2 linked regions of the Caenorhabditis elegans genome follow. The protein of the gene in region 2 interacts with the protein of the main gene of each other region in a pairwise test. Each region holds a gene or a part of one and is shown on either strand. Other genes may lie near its edges. The genes, in order: F13H10.1 and ccpp-6.

What was found.
Region 1: the proteins of ccpp-6 (region 2) and F13H10.1 interact in a two-hybrid assay, tested with the Caenorhabditis elegans proteins (one large-scale study listed by BioGRID).

What each region holds. Positions count from the first base shown.
Region 1 is NC_003282.8:11,002,717-11,005,825, reverse strand, and holds F13H10.1 (MADF domain-containing protein), read right to left. Parts: upstream 1,254-3,109; 5' UTR 1,242-1,253; coding exon 1,100-1,241; intron 1,055-1,099; coding exon 981-1,054; intron 923-980; coding exon 782-922; 3' UTR 757-781; downstream 1-756. Other genes in the region: F13H10.9 (uncharacterized protein), read right to left, coding at 2,025-2,129, 2,418-2,483, 2,534-2,641, 2,686-2,821.
Region 2 is NC_003280.10:5,383,418-5,389,070, reverse strand, and holds ccpp-6 (Cytosolic carboxypeptidase 6), read left to right. Parts: upstream 1-1,753; coding exon 1,754-1,835; intron 1,836-1,918; coding exon 1,919-2,043; intron 2,044-2,470; coding exon 2,471-2,568; intron 2,569-2,622; coding exon 2,623-2,836; intron 2,837-2,889; coding exon 2,890-3,131; intron 3,132-3,243; coding exon 3,244-3,355; intron 3,356-3,633; coding exon 3,634-3,720; intron 3,721-4,018; coding exon 4,019-4,143; intron 4,144-4,523; coding exon 4,524-4,645; intron 4,646-4,694; coding exon 4,695-4,867; 3' UTR 4,868-4,934; downstream 4,935-5,653. Other genes in the region: ndx-6 (Putative nudix hydrolase 6), read left to right, coding at 1-154; rsp-4 (putative splicing factor, arginine/serine-rich 4), read left to right, coding at 245-450, 507-644, 1,122-1,176, 1,220-1,411; pkc-3 (Protein kinase C-like 3), read right to left, coding at 5,439-5,564. UniProt on the Caenorhabditis elegans protein: Metallocarboxypeptidase that catalyzes the removing of polyglutamate side chains that are present on the gamma-carboxyl group of glutamate residues of tubulin in sensory cilia.

The sequences.
Region 1 (3,109 bases), on a different chromosome or scaffold from region 2:
AGCACAATATGCTACCCACATGACATTGATTAGGAAAACTCTTTTGTTGTCAGCTGAAACATGAAGAAAGTACAGTTTTGTGAACCAAATAGTCACGAAAGTAGAGTCACAATGTTAAACTATGACTTGCTGTGATTTCTTCTTGTGCTCTTTTTCTGATCGTTTAAACCAATAAGTTGAAAAATGCGGAAGTTTTATCTGTGTGATTTTTCATTTTAGAAGGTCGATATCGATACTGGGTATATATTATAAGACGAATAATAGTTCAACATTGCTGAATAGCACATTTGAAAATCAATCATAATTATAAATTTCTGAATGAAAGCTTTGGCAAAATTCCAATTTTTAAAAATGTGTGTTTCTTTAGAATTACAGTCTTTTGTCGCATTATCGATCATCTCCCCGGGCATTTAAAAACATAATCAACATATATTATTAATATTATTTTTAGTGGAACAATTTTTTGACCGATTTCCAAAGTAATGAGTTGCAAATACCCGCGTAAAAACTGTACAAAAATAATCATAAGGAATTTTGGTGAATTTAGCGCTGTTTGGATGGCTTACATTAGCAGGCCGATATAAATTGAGAAAACATTTTTCCAGAAAATCTACTTTCAGAACTTATTAGTTTATTATTTTCTTTCCCCAAAATTAAAAAAAACCTTTTTCCTGGCAATGATTGGATTTGAAAACTCACTTTATCACTACATTTGTAAGTTTCAAAATATCGTTTAGCAATATTAAATATTTAAAAAAAACAAAAAATATTTATTGCAGTTTCAGACGGAAGTTTCTGATGGTTTCGATATCAATAAAAGTTCATCTAATGTTGGTTTCAAGAAAATAGCAAGTGATTCAGCAACAAGAGTATCTGCCGGTGTAAAATCATCTTCTAGGGAAGGAACTTCAATTCGAAATTGCTGAAAATAAACATTTCGTTTGAAATTTATTTCTTGAAATTTAAATTGTTCTGCTCACCTCTAAACTTGCATTTCTATTCATAAATCGATGAAGCCGAATGAGATATTCCCATTGCATTTCAGCTTCCTTTGCTAAAAATCTGTTGGATATTATTTTCATATATGTGCAAAACTCACGAGAAATATCAAAAGTGTGCCCGAAATGAGCCCAAATTTCATTCATATGCTCACGAGATATATCAAATTCTCGATTTTTCCATATTGCTGGAGTAAGACGAATTTGTTCGATAAATTCTTCCAGTCTATTGTGATCCAACATTGCAACTATGAACTATTATTTTTAAAGTATAATTAAATCTTTAAAATGAAGATTTAAGTAAAGAAAAAAGACATGAAAACAAATTAAAAATGTGTGAAAGTGTCTGGAAAGTGGTGGACGCTCAAAGTGAATTCCTCAAGAGTTTTGTCATTCATTTTGGATGAAGAAGGAGTGGAAAAAAGGAGTGTCCTAACACTTCTCAACGACCATGCTTGCGCAAAAAAGTAAAAAAAGTTTTGAAGGCCCAAAAAGCAAACAGACTGGGAAAAGCTTGAACTTCTTGGAGACTCACCGATATGTATTTGTTTGTATTATGTTTGTTCTCACATGATATCGCATTTCGTTTTGCGCTGGGTTTCTACTAAATTGTACGTAAGATGCAAAAGTGTAATTGGAATTACTGTAAGATGAGATGGAAAAATGTCTGGTTTCCAATGACGAGATACTTATATCTTTTCTAATAGTCATGAACATAATTTTTGGGATTTGCCAGATAATTATTGAATGCAATGTGATATTTGAAAATTTCAAAATAATCGTTTGGATATGAAAACTTACAACAACTGACAATTGCCAAAAATTTTCAATCGCCGCCCACACCTGGTTTCACATATTTTATTAAATCAGAGTCTGCCTTTGTGACAATTACTATATATATTTTGAAGCTAAAAATATATTAGGAAATAACTTTATTTTTCAAGAAACAAGAGATCTTCCGTTTTTCCATCATGATATCGATTTCAAAAATGATATAGTTTTAGACATGGTGATAGCTAGTGATAATCATATTTTTTCCAAATTGATCGAACTGCTCAAACCCGGATTCAGATCAACTTCCATCGGGGATATTGTTTTTCGTGAACCATCAATGTTATTGAATACGTTTGTCTGAAAACAATTATTATTTTGCGAAATGTGGTGTTGAAATAATTCCATTATTTGATTTCATAGATTACATTGATTTCAAACTCTACTAAATTTATGTAAGCGCAATACTAACGGAGACTACAAGTTTTTATTATTATTTAGAAATAGTGATTTTCAACTTTCACGAAAAGTGGTTTCTTAAAATTTTTAATTGTTGAATTTGAAATCCAAAAAAAAGCGCAAGACTAAAAGAGACTGAAATACTAATTTTCAAAGCGTGTTAGAGTTCAATATTAATAGATTATGTACCTTTGAGTCATTCCTTTGCAATGAATCATTTGACATTGCTATCTCGGATATGGTGTCCAGCCGTTTCTAAAAATAAAAATCAACAAAACCGTTTAATTTTCAAAAAAGTTTCTTACATTTTTCGCAGCTTCTTCATCTCTAAATCTCTGTGCAATTCCAGTAGCTGCACCGGATCTTGAATTATTATTGGAAGCATTTGACACACCGGTTATTCGTTCTTCATACTGAAATCCATATTTATAATTTTTGTTCTTAATTAATAACTAACCTGTCCAATTGTTTCATGGCTTCTAGATGATTCTTCTCGATGAGATCTCACAGTATCCGTGGATTTTGAAATGTCTTTGATATTTAATCGATTCCCTGGTTTAATGCTTGCTTGAACCACGCCGTTCTTAGCTTGCCTGAAACATGAAAAAAATTGTATCAGTTTTTGAAATGAATATTTGCTTTGTTATAATTTTAGAAAACTAGATCACAATTTCAGTAGCACTCAGACAAACGCTTAGTAGTCTAATTAGATTTCAACCATATTTGTTTAGAAAATCCATATTGCATTATATTTGCTCCATATTAGATTAGAAATCCATGTTAGATTAGATTCCCTCCATATTTCATTAGAAAACAAATCTAATCCAATATGGTCGAAATCTAATCCAATATGGCACGATCTCAGCCATATTTGATTAGAT
Region 2 (5,653 bases):
TTTTCATGATTCAAAAGGCCTTCTGAAAAATGTGGCTCTTCAAGCAGGAGATGATGCTAAAGCTTTACGCTGGATTGCAGTTAATTCAAATGAGCCACTTTACGCTTCTCATTCTCATTTTATTGATCTTCTAAAAGAATCTCATTCTCATTAACTACCACATGTCTCTCTTTTCTCATGTTCTCCTCTTATTTTCGCGTTTCTGTTAGCTATATTCAATTCATAAATGATTTTCATTTCAGAAATGAGCCGTGGAGGAGGTGGTGATCGTCGTGCCGCACCGGATATCAATGGTCTAACTTCGCTGAAAATCGACAACTTGTCGTACCAAACAACGCCCAACGATTTGCGTCGAACTTTTGAGCGATACGGAGACATTGGAGATGTTCACATTCCAAGGGACAAGTACTCTCGCCAATCGAAAGGATTCGGATTCGTTAGATTTTATGAGTAAGTTAAATTGGAACTATTGGAGAGAAAACATCAGAAAATCAATATTATTTTAGACGTCGTGATGCTGAGCACGCATTGGACCGCACAGACGGAAAGTTGGTTGATGGACGCGAGTTACGTGTGACTCTTGCAAAGTATGATCGACCATCGGATGAGAGAGGAGGCCGTGGAGGTGGTGGTGGACGTAGAAGGTTAGTATACTCAGTTGATTCCCCTTGTAGTTGTGCTCAAAAATTAGGCGCGAGACTTAATGGAACCCTTGTCTTCCTGACTTATTTATAGAACAGCAGCAGAGCCAGATGTTGCTGAGCTGAGCTGAATTTTTGCTGCTGTTGAAGCTGTAAATGCTTGCTGAGTGACACTTGAGTAGCAGAATTGCTGAAAATGCAGAGAAAAGCAGTTTTGATGTTGCTGTGTCTGCTGAATGAAACCAGCGGCGACAGTGTGGAAAAGGCAGAAAACAATTTTGTAAGTGCCCGAATATTTTCAATCGGCATATTCTACAGTTTGTTGCTGAAATTCAACTTTCGGTGGCAAACTGTATTGATAGACGTTGTTCTTTGTCTTTGAGTTGTCACTTCTTTCTATCGAATAGAACATTCACAGCGAGTAATGTATTTTGTACTCTATCAAAAACTTGATTCTTTTAAAAACTTAATAAATTTCAGATCCCGCTCACCGAGAAGACGCTCCAGATCTCCAAGATATTCTCGCTCAAGATCTGTAAGTTACTTTTAATGTCACCAATGTATTTAAATAATTTCAGCCGCGACGTTCTCGTAGTCGTACTCGTTCACCACCATCTCGTGATCGCAGAGATTCACCGGATCGTCGTGACAACTCTCGTTCCCGATCTCGTTCACCGCCACCACGTGAGGATGGATCTCCAAAGGAACGCCGTTCCAGAAGCCGCTCGGCATCTCGTTCGCCAAGTCGTAGCCGTTCCAACTCCCGCTAAATTCCGAAAAAATTTCCTCTTCGATTTCTGATTATTTTTCGTTTTCGTTTTCGTTTTTACTATGATTTACTCACTGATCCTGAAATTTCAAACGTCTTTTTTTTCCAGTTGCCTCCAACAAGACAAGTAATATATATGATTTCCAATTTTCCATCTAATTTCTCCAAGAGAACTGTTAAAATAAATCGAAATTCTGTCCGTCAATATTGTTCCAAACTTTTTTCTCTTGAATAAATTGGCTCAAGTGTCAAAGCAGTTAGAAATGTTCACCCAACCACACTTCCGGCTTCCGGTGTCGGAGCTCAGGTCTGGTTTTCAAAAAAACAAAATTTCATTTTCAATATGGGCTATGTTGGAAATGTCAGCTATCCTGATACAATTCCTGGTCAGGGAAATTTGGTTTTTGAAGCAAGTTTTGAATCTGGTTAGTTTTAAATTCAATTATAGACAAACAAGGAAGTAATTATATTATTATTTTTTGAATATTTAAAAAGTTTAAATTTTAAGGAAATTTGGGACGAGTCGACAAAGTTTCCTGTTCAGAATATGATTTATTCATTCGACCTGACACTTTGAATAATAAATATAGAGTTTGGTTCTATTTTGAATGCAAAAATGCATCTGAAAATCAGGTAAATGTTTGAAGAATTTGTATTTATTATTGATATTCGAAAACTGGATCTGAGGCGGAAACGTCGGGTCTCGCAGCGATTTTTAAAAAAATTCAATACCCTACGGGTTACTGTAGGTTTTCAGTTTTTTTCTGCAATGGCCATGGTTCTGAAATATTTACGAATTTTCCAGTATACCTAAATATGTTCTTTATTTTCGGGGAGAACATTTTGAGACAACTTTTTTCCTAGCTACAGTACTCTATTTTCCGCGCTAAAAGGTGTGTGCCTTTAAGAATACAGTAACCCATTCCTCGTTTTGAAAGTTACCGGCGGTTACTGTATTGATTGAAGGCGCACACCTTTTTGACTGGGTACTATTTGAAAATTAGTGTAATTATGCAGTTTAAACTTTAAAATTTTATTATCAAATTTGCAAATTCTTCAGCGGGCGATCTTCAATATTGTGAACTTTTCAAAACAAAGAACACTATTCGAAATGGGAATTGCAGCACCTGTAGTCAAATCAAATGCTCAAAATAGTTGGTATGATGAAAACCCCTCGATTTTCTATTTTAAAGAGCCATTTCAACATTTTAGGGCTCGAATCCCATCTCGCCATATCTACTACTACCGTAGTTCCCAACACAATGATCGTTGGATTCTTTCATTTGCTTTCATATTTGAATCACCAGATCCTGTTCAATTTGCATACTGTATACCGTATACTTATGGACAAATGCAGATATGGTTGAATGAGTTGGAATCCAGAAAATACCCATTTTTTCATAGAGATCTTTTGGTTCAAACTGTGGTAAATTGGAAATATTCATGGAATAGTCTGAAACTTTTTGGAAAATAATTCAGCAAAAACGTCGTGTCGACTTGATAACAATTGATGCAACACCTGACACATTCCAAGGATCCAAGAAAATGATTTTTCTAACTGCGCGAGTTCATCCTGGAGAGTCACCGAGTAGTCATGTTATGCATGGAATTATTGAATTTCTTGTTTCCAAAGATGATCGAGCACAGAAGTTGAGAAAAGTTTATTGTTTCAAAATTATTCCAATGCTTAATCCAGATGGCGTTTTTCTCGGAAATTATAGGTAACTTTTTGCAAACAGCCTAGGTAGGCATTCCTCGTCACCAACAACCTCTCGGCCCAGGCATAAAGGCGTACCTACCTACAGTGCCTACCTTATCAGAAGGTCATTTCAGATGTTCTCTAATGGGTCATGACTTGAATAGAATGTGGAGAACCCCTTCAGATTGGGCTCATCCTTCAATTTATGCTGTGAAGAATTTACTGACGCAATATGATAATAATCCGGTGAGAGCTGTTAAATTTATCGATATTGGGAATTTATCGATATACATATTCAGTGTTTTGTAGGACTTTTGAGCATTTTCATCAATTTTTTTTTGCAATTCCCATGATACATTCAAGTTGACTGTATCTCGAAGCGATCAAAATCCTAGATTACTGTAGACTATGGTTAAATTGAAACATTGTGGGAAAGTTGCCATGCTCACTGTTATGTGTCAATTTTAGGAATAAATGAATCAATAATTTGTAGAAGTTTTAGGATCTGTTCTTGAATATTTCAGCAAGCCCAAACTGTAATCTACGTTGATCTACATGCCCATTCTCAGAAGCCAAATTGTTTTTTGTATGGAAATGTGAATATGTCAGCTGTAAGTTGTGAATTTTTTTGTGAATTGGTTCGGGCAACTTCAAGAATCAGTTATGAGTTACTGTATTTCTTGAAGGGGTACAGCAACTATTGAAAATATTTTGTCCGTGGCGAGACCCGATATTAGCCGATTGAAGAACTTAGCGATTTTAAACAAAGTACCCGGTCTTGATACTACCGAAACTTAGCAGTTATCTACAGCATTTCACAATTTTAAACCCTAATCTTTTCATAGTTTCGCTCAACTTTGCAATGACCACAAAATTTAAATTTTCTGAAACATTTTTTTCTAATTTTCGGTCGAAGAAAAATCGACTTTCCGGCAGTTATGGCTTCCGCATTTGCTGGCAGATCTTTCCGAAGATTATTCGCTCGAGTTCACTCAATTCAACACGGATGTGGAGAAGGCTGGTACTGGCAGAAGGTGAGATTTTTTATATGGAAGGGAACGAATAATTTATTATGGATTTCGAATAGTCGTGATTTTAATTTGATGGGTCTTGCCACGATATGAATTTTGCAATAGCTAGTAATTTCTCACATGGTCATCCGTAGTATCTGCGTGCAAAAACACGACTGTGGGTCCTGGCGTGAGTGAACATTTCCAGCAACAGTACCTTTTACTTTCAATCTCTATTTTGCAACATTTTCTCAATATTTTGTGTGGTTTTATAATGATGTTTCTAGAAAATATATGCATATTTTCAAAATGAATACATTGGGAAACACGGAGTTGAGAAAAACACGCTGGGTTACTGTAGCAGAAAAATGCCAGTCGTGTCAGGACCCTTCATAACTTTTCAGAACGATGGGAGATCTACTTTCCTGCCTTTGCTATACACTTGAAGTATCATTCTTCTCTTATCGCCATACAGACTCTTCTGGAAATGGAATACAACATTGTACGCCATATCTTCAATATAAATGTAGGTTTTTTTTCAGTGATTTCCTACTGTAACTTGGTTCAATTTTCAGATGAAGCTCTCGGCGAGGCATTTTGCAGAGCACTTCTCAACTTCTATGAAGCCGACTGTGGACTACGAGAGATTGTGCTCGAACGTCCCTTTAAGACTTTTCTACCCGCCCGCGCCCAGAAAACTTTGAAAAAGCAAGCGAGGAAGGTGATTCAGACTGTGATGATGAAATGAATTGGCGCCCACATTAGAACTGATAAAGACCATTGAAATGCAATTTTTTTTTGTTTGTCAATAAATAAGTAAGGGAAGTGGTCAAATGGAAGAACATGTAAATTGAATTGAAGTTAAATCGAGTTCCACACGTGGCACAAAAGAAGTGTCAGATGGCGAAGAGACTACATTGATCGTAGTCTTCGCCGCAATTTTACATATATTTCAGGGAAATGAATGAGCTGACAAGAAAAGTAACAAGAAGGTGTATTTAGAAGGGGAGGTCATCAAGCATTAGGTATTCCTAGCAAGTATGAATAGTCTAGATTTTAACAGAAACCAAAAAAAATCACAACCTTTTCGGGATTGTAAGATACCACAAGACGAGTAGAAGTGATTGTTGCGAGAAAATGTATAACAGATGTTGAGAAAAAGAAAATAAGTTAGGATACTGATTATGCCACGAGTTAGTGTGTCATAGTATCGTATAAGACAGTGGGCGAAGGAGATGGGATTCGAGAATAATAATAAAAATCACAAAAAAGTATACCGAAGAAAATAAATATTTGGGACTCGGGGGATGGTGGGGGAATCAGACTGAATCTTCCCGACTCATTTGTAGAGGATTCACGTATTCAAATCCATCAAATTCTGATTGATCAATTCGTGCAATAACATCTGGATTGTCAGGTGATAATTGTGGAAGTTCGTCGGTGAACTGAAAAAAAAAACAAGCATTTTGAATTAGTTTTAAAATATTTTGATTCAATAATTTATTAGTAAACAAAAACTAATTTTTTTTTAAAG